4 linked regions of the Macaca fascicularis genome follow. The protein of the gene in region 4 purifies or fractionates together with the protein of the main gene of each other region. This does not show direct contact. Links are inferred from orthologs where the notes say so. Each region holds a gene or a part of one and is shown on either strand. Other genes may lie near its edges.

Region 1 (3,948 bases), on a different chromosome or scaffold from region 4:
TGCATATTTGGCCCGGTGCCATGGCTCACACCTATAATCCCAGCAAGTTGGGAGGCTGAGGTGGGTAGATCCCTTGAGCCCAGGAGCTCAAGACCAGCTACCTGGGCAACACAGTAAAACCCTGTCTCTACCAAAAATATAAAAATTAGGCGAGCGTGGTGACACGCATTGTCCCAGCTACTTGGGAGGCTGAGGTGGGAGGATCGCTTGAGCCTGGGAGGCAGAGGTTGTACTCCAGCATGGGTGACAGAGTGAGACCCTGTCTCAAAATACATAAACAAAAAAATAAAAATAAAAATAAATTTTAAAAATAAAATATTTTCAGCTGGGTGCAGTGGCTCACACCTGTAATCCCAGCACTTTGGGAGGCCGAGGTGGGCAGATCACGAGGTCAGGGGCTCCAGACCATCCTGGCCAACACAGTGAAACCTTGTCTCTATTAAAAGTACAAAAACTTAGCTGGGCGTGGTGGCACGCCCCTGTAGTCCCAGTCCCAGCTACTTGGGGGGCTGAGGCAGGAGAATTGCTTGAACCTGGGAGGCAGAGGTTGCAGTGAGCTGAGATCACGCCACTGCACTCCAGCCTGGGCAACACAGCAAGACTCTGTTTCAAAAAATAAATAAATAAATACATAAATAAATTAAATTAAATATTTTCCTTTGTATTTATATACCCAAGTGTACCCACAGAAAAAATATAGCATTATTTTGCTATGCAGGGGATCATTAACATAAATGATATAATACTATATGTGTTATCATATATTTTTCTTCTTTTCTTTTTCAAAAGAGACAGGGCCTCACTCTGTCATCCAGGCTGGAGTGCAGTGACACAATCATAGCTCACTGTAACTGCAAAATCCAGGGCTCAAAGGATTCTCCTGCCTCAGCCTCACAAGTAGCTGGGACTACAAGGGTGTGCCAACACACCCAGCTAACTTTTTAAGTTTTGGTAGCAACAGGGTCTCACTATGCTGCCCAGGCTGGTGTCAAACTCCTAGCCTCAAGTGATCGTCCCGTCTTGGCCTCCCAAAGCACTGGGATTACAGGCATGAGACAGCATGCCCTGCCTATTTTGCTTTGTTTATTCAACAAGTGTCCCAGAGCTTTCCATTTCAATATGTGTGTATCTACCCATTCTCAGTAACTATGTAAGAGTCTCTAGTAAGGACATTACCCAATTTATTCAGCCATTCCTCTATGGCTGGGCATTGAGGCAAGTTCCAAGCTTTTACTACAAAAAAGGCTGAAATAAACATACACATGTCTACTTGTGCATGTGGGCAAGGTTTCTGTGAGAGAAACAGCAAGAAGTAAACATATGGGATCAAAAGATACGCTCATTTCAAATTTGATATGCTAAAGTACTCTCCAAAAGAGCTGTACCAGCCTCACCACTGATGTGTCTGCCTCTCTCCTTCTTGAAAAGTATACAAACTTTTAAATGTCTGCCAAACAGACCTCCAAATCAACAGTAACACGCTGTCATCTTAATTTGCTTTTCCCTGGCCACAGGCAAGGTTAACCAGAATTCTATATGTTCACTTGCCATCAGTATCTCTTGTCTGGAGAACTGTGTCTGCACCCCTGGCCCAGATCCCTTCACCACCACCAGTCAAGCTTCCACCTCTCTGGGTCACTCACATACCTTCTCCTGAATCTGGCCCCCGATGTTCCGCAAGGCCTCCTGGAAAACTTTGTTCTTGGGCTCCAAACTCACACATCTCTGCAGGTCAAGGACAGCCTGGTCGAGGCGGCCCAGCTTCTCTAGGGCTTGGCTCCGCCGGTAGAGTGCTTTGACATCCCCACCATCCTTTTCAATGGCTGAGCACAAACAGGAGCGCTGTCAGCACCCATGAGGCCACCATCTCCAGGCAAGAGCAGTAGGGAAAGATCTCGAGGAAAGGCCAGAAGGTAGGGGGACGAATGTGGGGCTCGGTGCTTCAGCCTCAGAAAAGGTGAGGGTAGCTGCAGAAAAGGAAAGGCCCGAGGCAGTGGGAAAGAAAGAAGGCAGATGTGTCTCTGGGGCCAAAGGAGGAGAATGTGATGGTGCAGCGGTCCCAGAGTCCTTGCCCACCACAGAAGCCCTACAGCTCCACACGAGGGTCCACCATTCCCCTACCTTTGGATGCCTCTGTTTCTGCTTTGTCGTAATCTTCCTGTAAGAGAAAGACAGCAGCCTGAAAGAATGGTCATCTCCCTTTCGGGGCACTAACCAGGCAGCAGGGGTACTCTCGCTGTCCAAGGTCACCCGATCCCCCTTCACGCTGAGGTGCAAAAGACATCTGGCAAGCGGGGATGGCCTGGGAGCTTGAATTCCCAGCTGGGGCCCAAGCATCAGCTGAGATGGGCGAACCGGGGCCCGGCAGGCAAGGGGAAGAGCGCCAGGCTCCCTCACCAGCTTGAGGTGGCAGGCGGCCCGGTTCCGGTGCAGAATGGCCTGGTCCTGGGGCGTCGCGTCCAGACCCAGGGCCTGAGTGTAGGCCCCCAGGGCGCCCTCGTAGTCTCCACATTTGAACAGCTCGTTGCCCTCTTTCCGCAGCTGCTCCACTGAGCTGGCCTGTAGAGAGAAAGGGGGCGGAAACGTCGGAGGGGGTTCGGGGCAGAGCCCTGGAGAAGAGGAGGGATAGGCACGAGCCTCATGGATGGGGAGAAGGAGGCCTGGGATGGTCAGGGCGGGTGCGAAGGGGTGATGGCGCGGGGATTGGGTACGCACCCCGGAGGTGGCCGGCCGGGGCTCGGGGGTCCCTGGACCACTCACAGTCATCGCGGAGAGGTTGTCCCGTGCCCGCGCAGGCGCAGTCTCTGGGGCGGGACGAGTCTGGCTCCGGACGCTGCCGGGAGCTGCCCCGCCCCACTCTTGCGTCGGAGGTGGAGTCAGAGAGGGGCAGGGCTAAAGAGTTAGCGCGCCCGGGCAGGGGCGGGGCACTCGACTCTGGATCGCAGGTGCAGGCAAGCTCCGGGCGCGCCTAAGCTGTCCCCGCGGAGACCTGCAGGAGTTCACGGCGGAGGACCCGGAGGGAGGCCTGCGGTGGCTCCAGCCCCGACCCCGGCCCCGATCGCAGCAGAAGTGCACAAGGTCTGCGGTCATCAGGGTCACAACCAGTAGGCTGTAGAGGCCCAGCACTAGGAGTTGTCCTGGGCCCCTGCGGGAGAGAAAAAAGTATCTGGATCCCGGCCCTGGCCGCGCTCTGGCTGCTGCGCTCTGTGGGAGTACAGAACCCCTGGGAGTCCGGAGAAAGCTCGGGACTCCATCCCCAAATAAGTGTAGTCTTACATACACACATTTGCATACGAATTTAGGAGCTCATCCTAGAGCCACCCATGGGCAGATTCAGTATGGCTCCCTATTACCCGCTTGCACAGCCCCCTGAACTTCTCCCTTGTAATTGTAATCATGATCTACATGATTTTCTGTTGCGGTCTGTCCCTTCACTAGTCTGTAAGTTACAAGCCTCCCACCCCATAATTTAGGAACAGAGCCCCAGATATTGGAACACCCTGACGATGTTCCAGTGGCTCCGGGGTTGGAGATCTCACCTGAGGATGGGCGGGGGCGGAAGAGCGGACAGGTTGACTTGGTACAGGGCCTCAAATTCAGCCCGGGTGCAGCAGGAGCCCCCTGCAGCCTGCAGGTGGCAGCAGTAGGCTTCCTCTGGAGAATCAGAGAGACGAGGGCAAAAGAAACCAGGGTAGTGGTGGCCATTGACATCCCGGGTGGTCTGGCACAAGTGAGGGTGGTGGACCACAGCTGAAGAGAGAGGTTGGGGGGCTAGAAATAAGCAGGAGGGATCTTTCCACAGCCCACTCCACCCCTACTGGAGAGTAAAAGAGATCAGCCCCTACCGGAAGAGCAGGCGCCCTTCCATTCATCCCCATCAGTTCCAGTTCCCAGGAATAGCCCATAGCACGATAGGCAGGTGGGCCACAGGGGTAAGTGCTGTACCTG
Region 2 (3,992 bases), on a different chromosome or scaffold from region 4:
ATTCAACAGAAAAAAAATTTTTTTAATTATGCTGCCTAAAAAAAAAAAAAAAAAAAAAAAAAAAAAAGCTCATTCCAAATATGTCAGAATGTGACCAGTCAGCCCTGAAGGATTTCGTTACTAAAAAAATAAAATCTCCCAAATGCAATGGCGATGATGGGAAATGTCAAACCTCTGCCATTGTCAAATATATTTCACAGAGATAATATATTTGACTTATTCCACTTAAACATCCAAATTTCCACAAAATCGGGTTGGGAATCTATGGACTGGGGCCACCAGTTTTTCCAAGACCAGCTAGTGGCTGGCAAAAGGGGCAAACGGTTTCCTTTCTTGCCCCAGGTGACCCATCACCAATTTCCAAGCCAAGGTCCCTCCAAGATCCCACCCTGCAAGTCCTAACAATATGCTCTTTTTGGACAGAAACATTATAACTTTTGGGGGGTAGGCTCAAAATCCCCAGCAAGTTCAATCAGATACTAATTTATCACAAAACCCTTCATCGTTGGGTGGGTACTTTATTTTCATCTGTCAAATTTCAATTCAGTCAATATTTATTTGCCTTCTTAAATTTTTTTTTTTTTGTTTCACCTTCATTTGATTCATTTTAAGGCCAAAACCTCCTCATGAAATATTGTTTGCATATATGCTTTCATATTCCAAAGGCAAACCTTGGGTTTGGCTTTTGTTTGTATTTTGATTATTTTTCCTTTATTTTGTTGCTGCTAAAATCAGCTGAGTTGGTGTTTTATCACATTTCTTCAGCAAAGTAAGTGTTCTACCAAGGAAGATAGATAAGAATTAGAATTTTCATCTCCTTTTTGCCCATCCCTCTTTTATCTTTTTCTTGTTAAGTCAGTAAAATTTGTGCTTTTTTTTTGGTCACAAACTCCCCAAAATGATTAAGGCTAATGGATTTTTTTCCCCCTTTGAAAGTAATCAGGTTTCTGAAAAATAACAAATATTGATAAACTACCAACCTCACATCACAGTCAAAGAGGCCTGAAACCAATCTAAATTTTTTTTTAAGTAATAAATTTTTCAAATTGGAAGAGTGAACAAGACAGAAAAGGGAAAATTTTCTTCCTTACCAAGGATTCCTCAATCCTTGTCTTCATCAATTGATTTAGTTGCATGTCATAAAAAATGAGCTTCTGTGAATCCACTGTTAGTTTTTTCATAATAATGTTAATTATGCATATCTTATTTTAATGGCGGTCTCTCCTACAAATCTGTGGGTTACTCAATTTGTATAATGTATGAATTTACATTTTTTCCACTGAATATTGCTCAAAAAAGGTCCCTGACATTTTCTGGATAAAACAACAACAAAAAAGAAATGCCTAGACCTTTCAGGAAACAAAATCAGAAAACAGTCTTAATTATTCCATCAAAACAAAACAAAAAAAATACCCACACACAAAACCCAACAAATAGAGAAAAAAAGAAAGAAAGGATTTCACTGTAACTTTTTCCGTTTCTGTTTTCTTTAGAATCTTAGGATTTAAATGCAGTAAAATGTAAATGCAAAATTAAAAAAAAAAAACAACTACAATTTTTGGGTGTGTCCAAAGCCAACATTTTAGGGTCTATTTTCTCTTTTAAATCCTTCCTTCGTGGAAATAGAAAAACTTTAAATATTGCCAAATAGAGAAATTAGTCTTTTTTTGCCCGCTGAGCTAAATAAGTTCCAAATTACAATGAAGTACAATTTCTAATTGCTTCATAAAGCCAATTCTCTCAGTTTTCCCTAAACTCAACAATTTCCCTCCTTTCTTTATTCCAATTAGTTTTTTTCTCAAACTAAAATGAGTTGGGCACCCAAACTGACTTTGCTTTTAGGAGATTTTTTGCTTTCTCCCCTCCAAGAACTGAATTCATTCAAATTCCAGCTTAATTTTCATTTACATATTATCTGGATTTGGCTTCAGAAATAAAAATTGTCTCCATGCTTCTGGAAAGATCAAAGTGAAAATTTTCACCCGAAAAAAGAAAAAAAAAGAATCTCTTACCCCTCCACTGCCTGGTAGTGCAAACTTTTGAAAAAATAAGAAATAAAAAATATTTCTTTTCAATTTTAATTTCTTTTTTTATTTACAAAATAGTATCCTCTAGGTGGCGTCGTTTTAATGGGAAAAAACTACCGTTTGAAGAAAAATTAGAAAAAAAAAATTGAGAAAGGAAAATATGGCCTAAAAAAAAAAAAGATTGTTGCAAAAATGGGGGATCTGGGGGGAAACACCTCCCGGGGGGTCATCGGGGACCCCGAGCGCAGAGAGGGTCAGGGGAAAATTGCAAATTTGGGGGGGAGGGGGCAGAGCTGGAAGGGGTTGCATTTTTGCAAAATGTGAATTGTCCAAACTGAAATGGCTGCTCTGTTCTCTCGCCGCTTTGTTTTCTGGGCTCCGGTCCGAGCCCGGGGCCGGAGGGGGCGCTGGGTGGGGGCCCCAAAAGACCCCCTCGTCACCCCCAACCTCCTCGCACCCCGCAGCGCCCGGGGGGGTGCTCTCCGGACCCCGACTCTCCCGTTTGCGCCCACAAAAAGCTCGCAAACGTGCCCAGGCACTTTGCATTTTGCAAATCTTGCAATGAAGTGGCGCAGCGCCCCGGGCCCCGGCCCCCCGGGGTCCCCCGCGCGGTGCATGCCCCCGGCCCCCCGTCGTACCTGCGGAGCCGCCGCGCCGCCCGGCTGGTTCATGGGTCCGTGCGGGAGGAGGCGGCCCCGGCGCGTCCTGCTCCTCCCGGGCCGGGCTGCTGGTGCGCGCACAATGCCGCCGCCGCCGCCGCCACCGCCGCCGCCGCCGCCGCTCCCTCCTCCGCCCGCCCCGCTCAGGCCGGGGGGGCGGGGGCGCTGGGGGCGCGCGGGGGGGGCGCCGGCCCTCGCCCCCACCGCCGGCCTGCACCGGCCGCGCCGCGGCAGCCGCTGCCGCCGAGCCGCCCCTCGCGGGGCCGCCGCCGCCCCCCGCCGCCCTGCCCGCCCCCGGGCCGGCCTCGCCGTGCGGCCCGCGAGCTCGGGGCCTCGGCCTCGGCCTCCGCGCTGCCGGCCTCCGCGCGGCACACAAAGCCGGCCGGTCCAGGGGCGCGCCCGCCCTCCCGTCCGCCAGCCCCAGGGCAGTGGCGCACCCGCCCCCCAAACTTTCCCGCGCCGCGCCCTGCCCTCCCCGCGCCCCCGCGCCCGCCCCCCGTCTCCCTCCTGCCCTCCCCCAGTCCTCCAGCCCCTCGGAAATGTCATTTTCACACTGGAAAAAAGTTCGGGGAGCCGGCGGAACGCAAGAGGTTAATGGGAATTCAGTACCCTGCTGTACCCCCCCCCAAAAAAAAAAACAGATTGATTTTTGAAATAAAAGTTTTCAAGAGCTGGCTTGCTGAAAGACTGGAAGGCTTACCGGGAATATTCTATTGCCCTGCCACTCCTCCCCAAAAAACTAATGTAATAAAATAAAAGTTTGAAGGACTGGTCCCATGTCAGACAAGAGGGGTTAAGAGGAGTCTAGCCCCCTAGCCAGACTGATTTTTAAAATAAATATTTGAGGAGCCGCTTTTATGTGAAATGCCAGTGAAACGGCTGTTTCTGCCTATCCTCGCCAAATGAAAAAATATATGTGTGTATATATATATATATTTCCAAATAAAAGTTTGAAAAACTCCTCCTACAGTAAGACAAGAGGGGTTAAAGGTTAAGGGGTATTAGGCCCCCCCTCCCCCCCCCGCGCATATCCACCAGTCAGGTTGATTTAGAAAAGGAAAATTTGAAAAACTTCTATGTGAAATAAAATGTGAACCAGGAATTTTTTTTCCAACACCCCAAAAGAGTCAGGTTTTTTGTTGTTGTTGTTTTTTGTTTTTTTACTTGAGCAACTGCCTCCTTGTGACTTGGGAAAGTTTAAAAGAGATTTTTTTTTTTTCTGTTCTCTTCCCCATTCTCCTAAAAAATCAGATTTTTTAAAAACTGAGCGTGTGAAGGACCTGTCCTATTAAAGAGACAAGGGGGG
Region 3 (4,001 bases), on a different chromosome or scaffold from region 4:
TACAACCATCTCAACGAACGACTGCATTCGTTCGTTCATTCATTCATTCACTCAGTAAGCATTCATTCTAAGTACCTTCTTTTTGCCAAGCACTGTGCCAGGAACTAGATACACAAAGAGGAACTTTTGCCCTTGAGAAGCTCACGAATAATGCTAGTGTGGCAAGATAAATTCTGTAATGGTGGTTTGAGTGTCCCATAGGAGCCTGAGGGGTGGGGTGGTAGACATGAATTGAGCCTTAGATGATGGGTAGGAATTTGCAGGTGGCACAGGAGAAAATACCAGTCCAAGCAGCCAAGCAGAGGGAATACATGAGGAGAGACAAAGAGGTCTGAGAGCCTGATGTGTGTGGGGAAATGGCAAGCAGTCCTGGCTACTCTTAAGGGTGAGGAGAGACCACAAGGGAGCTACAGCTGGTGTTCCTTTCCTGGATGACAGAGCCTCTGATGTTCCAGGCAGTTTATGCCTAACAAAGTCATTACTTCAGACTGGGAGACTTGATTAGAGTTTTTCCTGAGGCTGCTCCCTGGTCCATCACCTAGTGGGATCCAGGATTGAACAGTTTGTAGGGCTGGAACATGGTGTCATGGTCATCACCCTCCTCTCCATTCTCTGAAGTCCAGCTCAAAAAGGGCCACCCATCACCTTTCTTGATTCTCAGATCCTCAAATGGCTGGACTCTCTTGCACATCTTCAGCACTGACCACAAACAACATTTTATGCTGTTTCTTCTCCCCACTAGAAGGTGAGCTCCTTGGATCCACAGTCTGAGCCATCTGCAGTTTCAAATCCCCTCAAATCATCCAGCACAGTGCTTTGCAAATAGAAGGAACTCAGTGACTATTTGCTGAATGAATAAGTAAATGAACAAAAGGTGTTTTTTTTTTCTTTGCTCAACCACTATTCTCTTAAATTCTTGGGACAGAAAAGAAGACTTAAAAGAAGTTTCATTGTGGAACAGACATTTCTTACCATTTTCCCCATTTCATCTTTTCCAGCACAAGCCCTGTAGGTATAAAGTTTGACTTGTGTTTTCAGAAAGGCAGACACTGGAAGAGGATGGCTGCAAAGCAGTTCAAGAGGTACACACCAAGTAAGCACAGGTTCTCTCATCAAATTCTAGACTCTCTAAAAAACAGGTCCCCGAAGTCTGCAAAGGCAAGTAAGGACAATAAGGAGTTTCCTCCATGTGCCAAGCTGTATAGGTTACAAAGTGCACGGGAAGGCGGGGAGGGCAGGGTACCAAGGGCAGAGTCAATCAGAGACCTACAACAGACTAAGGAACTGAAGAAGCCCAGAGAAGAGAAAGCACTTGCCAAAGTCACAGAGCTAGGTAAAGGCAGAACTGGGAAAAGAGCCCCATTCTCTAACCTTCTAACTCCCAGTCCACAAAACTTCACTCCACCAGGCTGCCTGTCTAAAATGTAAAGCAGTTGTTACACTGAGTTCTGTAAAGCTGAGGATAAGTAGGTTCAGGAAGAAAGTTTACTGAGAAGTAGTTTCAGCCGTGTTACCAAAGGACCTTAGAAATAATCAACATTTAATTCTAACCACTCTCACCCACCAGTCACGGTTGATGAACCATGCTTCTGAATGAGACAGAGAGGCGGGGGGGGAGGAAAGAAGGAGGGGGAGAGAAAAGGAGGGAAGGAGGGAGGAAGGAGGCAGGAAGGGGGAGGGGGGAGAGGGAGAGAGAGGGAGAGGGTAGTGGGGGGAGAGGGGGGAGAGAGAGAGAACTAACTTCTTAGAGTACTTCTTCCCAGGGACCTGGTGTTATCTGGTCCCTGTTAACACCTGTACTCAAAATAATTCACCTCTTTGAAATCAGATAATGAGTTAAAAATTCATTTAGGATGAGCTCAATGTCAGAGCATAAGAGCCTCAACTCTAACCTGCAGTGGAAGAGCCAGAGGTGAGTGATTTACACCTAACCCTCTGCAGAGCAAGAACACAGTGTTCTGATTTCTAGGTTCCTGCAGGTTCCCTCAAACCTGCTGCTGAGGCACACCCATGTTTCTAAAAGAATGCATGTACTAGATATGCCAGGCTCAGCCCGGATACTTCCATTCTTTAGTTCTCATTCAGTCATTCATTCACTCAAGGAGTAAGTGTGGAGTGAATGTACACTGCAGATGCCACAGAGACTTAAAAAACCCTGAGCCCCTGCCTTCGGAGGGTCGTTCAGGCCATCTTCACGTTTCCCGAGGTGCCCATCCTACCTGGGGGCCCTATCCCGAGCAACTGTCCAATCATCTCTGCTAGGGGATGTAGTAGGCGGCAGAAAGGAATGGTTAGAAGGGTTCAAATCTCGGCTCTACCACTTAAGCAGCTGTGCAAGAGGCTCCACGTCTCCGAACCTCAAGTGTCCTCATCTGTAAAGTGTTGAGAAGAATGGCACCTTCTTCACAAGCATGTTAGCAGGCTGAGATTACGAACAATGCTGAGGGCTCGGTATAGAGTAGCTCCTCTGCTGTTTCTCGTTTTGTATTCAATTGTTGGAAGAGAAGGAAGGAGGCTGGCAGGAGACGCGGCAGCGGCGCGCCCCGCAGAGTCAGGGAGGTTCTTTGGCTTCACCTCTGGACTCCGCTCGGAATGGTCCGCAAGGACGGGGCCAGAGCTCCCCAGATCTCTAAGCGGTGGGTGGAGGGGAGCTTAGGATTTGGGACTCAGCACGGCCGAGGAACCCGTGAGGGCTGCGACCGTGGCCTTCACCCTGCTCGGCCTCCTCAGTCCCAACACTCACCATGATTGTGGCGGTGGCTGCTCCGGGTCTCGGACGTGGCAGCTCCCGGCGGCGCCTCCGAATAGCTCACTTCCGGCGCCCGGCCCTCAAGCTGCCGGGCCGTGGCGTAGGAGCCTCCGGGCAGCAACGCGCTCGGCTCTCACAACAGTTCCGCGCCTTCCAAAGGGCGCGCCCCGCCTTCCCGAGGCCCAGCCCCTATCCTCTAGTGACGCCGAGACCAGAGGGCTGAGGCTCTGGTTGCCGCAGTGACCCTGACCAGGGGGGCTTTGGAATCTGAAGCTCTGGTGGGTCTACTCTCCCGACCAAGTCTGCCCTTTTCCTGAGATCCATAAACGAAAGGAAGGATTAATATAACTATCGGCCGGGCGCGGTGGCTCATGCCTGTAATCCTAGAACTTTGGGAGGCCGAGCTGGGGGCGGATCACCTAAGGTCAGGAGTTCGAGACCAGCCTGACCAACATGGTGAAATCCCGTCTCTACTAAAAATACAAAAATTAGCCGGGCATGGTGGCGCGCGCCTGTAGTCCCAGCTACTCGGGAGGCTGAGGCAGGAGAATCGCTGGAACCCGGGAGGCGGAGGTTGCAGTGAGCCATGACTGCACCGTTGCACTCCAGGCTGGGCGACAGAGCGAGACTCTTGTTAAAAAAAAAAAAAAAATCTATCTATCTACCTATCTATCTATCTATCTATCTACCTACCTACCTACCTACAGCTTCACCGCCTCTCTGCGGCTCTGGGTGAGACTGGCCTTATGATGAATGTTGTAGGATGAGTGATGTCTTGGGAGTAAGTAGACTGTCCTAGTGCTTCCTTGTTGTAGTCCCCCCATCAGGACCCAAGGACTGGGACCAGGGCAGAGGAGGCCAGGGAATGCCCCTCACCAGAGGCTGGGACCTCTCACCCTGCCATCCCTAACCCCTATATAGGACTGCCCCTTCCAAACCGATCCCCCGGGGTCCTGAGTAAGTCCCATCAGGGAGATTCCCCATAGGCAATGAAGGATCTCAGCCAGGCTCCTGCAGCTAGAGCCCTAGACCTAATTCCTAGCATCCCTGACCCCAGGTCTCTGGCTTCCCAAGGTAGGGCAGCTGAAGGTTCCCCACAAGCGCAGTGAGAATGCCACACTGGAGGACAGAGCCTGGGCCCCCCTCCCCCTCAGCCACGTATGGTCTAACCCTGGGGCCCTTGTGATATTAAGGAGGCAGGTGAGCTGGGGTAGGCCTTGACTCCCCTTGGGTAACTCACAGTCCTTCAGTT
Region 4 (4,153 bases):
GGGTTCGAGTACAGCCTGGCCAACATGGTGAAACTAAAATACAAAAATTAGCTGGGTGTGGTGGCGGGCGCCTGTAATCCCAGCTACTCAGGAGGCTGAGGCACTAGAATCGCTTGAACCCAGGAGGCAGAGGTTGCAGTGAGCCAAGATCGTGCCATTCACTGCACTCCAGCCTGATCGACAAGAGCGAAAACTCAGTCTCAAAAAAAAAAAAAGAGAGTCTCCAGCAAACAGTAAACACCATTCTCACCTATTCTGAATATTTTTGCAAAAGGTATTTTAGATTGTTGCTGAAAAATAGCTTGGTTTTAAACTATATTTTAGTCTCCATTCCATGAAGAGGCTCTTTAATCCCAAAAGTTAAAACATTACTCTAAAACCCTCCAAAGTAAAGTTAACCATTTGACAGAACAATGTCTTTCTATCTCGTCATCTTTTATCCGCGTTACTGCAATTTGCACTCACCAATATTCCACACCAACAAAGGCCGCAATTTCTCTGATATTAAGATTTACTGCCAAACTCAACAGGTTAAAATTACTTATCAAAGTGTGGCTAAGTGATTAAGATTTCTTTTAATACAATTGATTTGAGTAAATTTTAACATAGTTGGTGCTGCTCAAACTGCCTTTGCCATTACCTATACAAATTTAGTCCCGACTGAAATGTGCCAAATATGACCATTCACGAAAGGAAAGAGTAATTAACACTTTTAAAAGAACCACAAAGGATTTTACATAGTATAATTCAACAATTTCATGTCACATCTGCTGCAGAGATCACAAACATTGTCACTATGCCATCTCCTTCCTCGAACCCCCACACCGCCTCCTGCAGCTTTATTCTTGGCTTTTCAAAGGTTTAATCCACTCGGGGCTGCTAAAGGAGGAATCAAGGAAGCATAATTTGTGAACCCAAGCTGAGAAAAGGGCAGGAATATGGGGTTGAGTCACGTCGTTCCGCCATTTTCTAAGCGGAGGAGGAAGACATGTTGGAACAAAAACACAACAAAAGAGCAGCCATTTCCCAAGCCAGCTCCAATAGCAACTCGAACTGACACCGCCGGGTCGCTTCAGCACCTTCAAATCCACTTCACTGGACAAACCTAAGAACATCAGACGTGCCGCCGTAAAAAAGGCAGCAGCCAACCCTTCCGCGTAGGGATCAAAGATGACCCGCACGCATAACTGCAAACGAAAGCCTCGGGAAGAGAATGACGGAAGCGAAATGGAGCAGTGTAATACAATGAAATAAGTTGGCAAATTGAAATTTACTCAGTGATTGCGATGACTTACAGGAAGGCACCAGCTACAAGGAACCCAGGTAACCAAAACAAGACCCGGATTCAGCTGGTCTCATTACCTGCCTCTACCCACTTCCCCATTCCGTGCTTCCCTCAGCGGATCGCCTACATGCACGGGGTTCTTACCGTATGTGGGGGATGCCAACCCCACCTTGAAGAATCTTATAGAGCTTGCTCTCGTACAGCAACTGGGGATGCCTGGCCTTCTGAGATTCTAGCTTCACTGCCACTTCCTGCAGGGGAAAGAGGGGATGATGGCATCAACATCCCTACGGATTCAGTGTCATTTAGGAAAGGAGAGAGACATTAGCAAAACTCCAAGTCGCGACTACAAGGAAGAAGTGAAAAGCTGGAAAGAGAAAGCTCTCTGTAATTATAAAACGAGGCAACCAGCCTCAAAGGCCTCTTCAGGGGGTAGTGACGAAATCGTACGTCCTCTAAAGTGCAGGAAAATGATTCATCCAGAAAAAAGAGGCAACCTCTGAACGTAGTGAGAGGTTTTTAAGGAACTAGGCGATCGGAAACTGTTCTAATTGGAACAAGAGGCCCAGCAGGATTAAAAATTAAATAAAAGAAAAGAAAAGCAAAGCATGGGAATCACAGAAAGAGGATTTTGCCGTTTCCACCTTAAAAGTCGGTTAAAAAAAAAACAGCTCGACCAAGGGACATTTATGGGAAGTGTTTAACAAGCTGGGAAACTAGTTCCCCCACCCTTTTCTATCGGGTTCTTGACCCTTTTAGGGAGAGAGCGGGCGAGGATCGCAAGCCAGGAAAACTAGCTCCCTGGACTCCCTGGCGAGTGCGTGCGGTGAGGAGAGGCCCGAGCACTTTGGGGGTGCGCGGTGGTGGTGGGGGGAATGAGGAAAAGCGCAGCGTTATCGTGAACCCCACCCCAGGTGATTACCTCGCCGTTGGTGATGTTGATCGCCAGATAGATGTCCCCGAAGGAGCCAGACCCGATCTTCCGTACCAGTTTATATTTCCCTCCGACAATGAATTCGGCCTTAGAGCCGCTGCTACTCGCCATCCTGAGAGACGAAGATGGAGTCTGGGGCCAAGCCCCGACACCTCTGGGAAGACGACGGAGGCCTCTGGGGCTCCTACACTGGGCAAGGCTACGGAGGAAGGCGGCAGGAAACAGAACACGGAGGCCTTTACCGGCGTTCGGGGCCCAGAATCAGCCGAGGGGAACCTGATCACCGCCGCTCAGTCAGGTTTCTTTTTGCCAGGCCGCAGTTTGTGAAGGGCTTCTCGCGGTTACCAGGCTGGGCCACTTGTTTCTCGGCGGCCGCCGCTGCCTCGCTTGCGCGGCGACGTCGCGGGCTGGAAAAGGGGCGCGGTGAGCTAGGGCGGCGATACAGCTACCACCACTGCCGCCGGCTCCGGCCCTGAGGGACCCCTGTCACTCCGCCGACGCCGCCATCTTGTTACTCCAGCTCCAGCCAACACAAAATGCCCCCAGTCCCCGGGAGCCGCTTCTTCACGGCGCAGAGCACTCTGGGAAAGGGATCTGGGGCGCTCGCTCCGAAGGATCGGCAGCTAGAGGGCGGAACCGGATCCGTGAGAGTCGCGGCCCACGCTCCGAGCGTCACCCTGTCACCGCCCAGTAGCGCATGAGCGCTGCAACTCCTGCTGACTGCGCAGGCGTGCCGCGGCCTGCCTCACCCCGCCCCGGGCTTTCTTCCACTTCCGGTCGGCGGCGGCTCAGCCGGTGTTACCTGTTACTCGCCTCGGACCCGCAGGGTCTCTGGAAGGCTGAGTGGCCCCAGGCCTCGATGTTGGGAGGAGTCACCTTCATGTTTCGTGTCAGGCCTCCTTAGGAGTTGGGTATTGACCTTTGCTCTTTGAGGCGGTTTTTAACCTTTGATCTTTCTTCTGGCCGCTCCCCAGGACCGGCCTATTCCAACCCAGTTTCTGTTTGGAAAGAGGCTATCGCCTCTGGTGGAGAGGAAGAGAAAAGCAGCCCGCGTTGAGGAATCGTTCAGGGCTCTCGGTTATAGCAAAACCTAGCTAATTACCCTTCATAATTAGAATTTTCTTCTCTACTACGGAGTGTTATAGACCCTCTTTCCACAGGAGGGGAAAAAAGAAAGAAGCCGGAATCCCCCTGCCGTCCTACGTCTTTGCATTATTGCCTCACTACCACTTTTGATCTTCAGAAGAAAACCCAGTATCTTGTTCATAGTGAAGATTAGGGATAGATGGAATCAACAGAAAATTAATTTAACAAGAGTGAAAAAACTGTTATGCCCCCCAACCCCACCAAAACAACAACAAAGAATCGTATGTTGGTCATGTTGAAAACCGCAGTATTAACCTGAACAGAGTAGAGGTAACTATTACAAAATTTAATTGACAACATTTAAAGCTACACGGAAATTTTTTTCTTTTTTACTAAAAATCGATCAGAGAATCAAATCTTGACCACGTTTTGTATTACAAAATTTGACCTGGGAAAATTGGGTTGAGTAATAGTAATGTTCACAAAAGAAAGCTCCATGGTTTATGCTATCATCTTAAGTCAGACCTCAGTCGTAAACATTTAAGCTAAGCCTATCTTAAATAAAATTTAATTAAAATAGAAATGAGGGCTGGGCGCAGTGGCTCACGCCTGTAATCCCACCACTTTGGGAGGCCGGGGCGGGCAGATGACTTGAGGTCAGTTGTTCGAGACCAGCCTGGCCAACATGGCGAAACCCCGTATCTACTAAAAATACAAAAATTAGCTGGGTGTGATGACGTACACTTGTAACCCCAGCTACTCGGAAGCGGAGGTTGCGGTGAGACTAGATCACGCTACTGCACTCCAGCCTGGGCAACAGAGAGACCCTCTCTCAAAAAAATAATTAA

What was found.
Region 1: the proteins of CSNK1A1 (region 4) and UNC45A purify together in Homo sapiens (affinity purification with mass spectrometry; 4 studies listed by BioGRID and IntAct, with this or other methods). This does not show direct contact. The link is inferred for Macaca fascicularis from reciprocal best matches to the Homo sapiens genes CSNK1A1 and UNC45A.
Region 2: the proteins of CSNK1A1 (region 4) and ZNF618 purify together in Homo sapiens (affinity purification with mass spectrometry; 3 studies listed by BioGRID and IntAct, counting the BioPlex papers as one, with this or other methods). This does not show direct contact. The link is inferred for Macaca fascicularis from reciprocal best matches to the Homo sapiens genes CSNK1A1 and ZNF618.
Region 3: the proteins of CSNK1A1 (region 4) and SEC13 purify together in Homo sapiens (affinity purification with mass spectrometry; 4 studies listed by BioGRID and IntAct, with this or other methods). This does not show direct contact. The link is inferred for Macaca fascicularis from reciprocal best matches to the Homo sapiens genes CSNK1A1 and SEC13.

The regions. Positions count from the first base shown.
Region 1 is NC_088381.1:75,486,989-75,490,936, reverse strand, and holds the start of UNC45A (protein unc-45 homolog A), read right to left. Parts: upstream 2,807-3,948; 5' UTR 2,767-2,806; coding exon 2,716-2,766; intron 2,560-2,715; coding exon 2,398-2,559; intron 2,159-2,397; coding exon 2,122-2,158; intron 1,824-2,121; coding exon 1,648-1,823; intron 1-1,647.
Region 2 is NC_088389.1:44,232,702-44,236,693, forward strand, and holds the start of ZNF618 (zinc finger protein 618), read right to left. Parts: upstream 2,807-3,992; 5' UTR 2,699-2,806; coding exon 2,666-2,698; intron 1-2,665. UniProt on the Homo sapiens protein: Regulates UHRF2 function as a specific 5-hydroxymethylcytosine (5hmC) reader by regulating its chromatin localization.
Region 3 is NC_088376.1:148,634,698-148,638,698, forward strand, and holds the start of SEC13 (protein SEC13 homolog), read right to left. Parts: upstream 2,807-4,001; 5' UTR 2,747-2,806; coding exon of another isoform or gene 2,744-2,746; exon of another isoform or gene 2,373-2,743; 5' UTR 2,319-2,372; exon of another isoform or gene 2,220-2,318; intron 1,151-2,219; 5' UTR 1,114-1,150; coding exon 973-1,113; exon of another isoform or gene 76-972; intron 1-75. UniProt on the Homo sapiens protein: Functions as a component of the nuclear pore complex (NPC) and the COPII coat. At the endoplasmic reticulum, SEC13 is involved in the biogenesis of COPII-coated vesicles.
Region 4 is NC_088380.1:156,431,315-156,435,467, forward strand, and holds the start of CSNK1A1 (casein kinase I), read right to left. Parts: upstream 2,803-4,153; 5' UTR 2,331-2,802; coding exon 2,208-2,330; intron 1,537-2,207; coding exon 1,430-1,536; intron 1-1,429.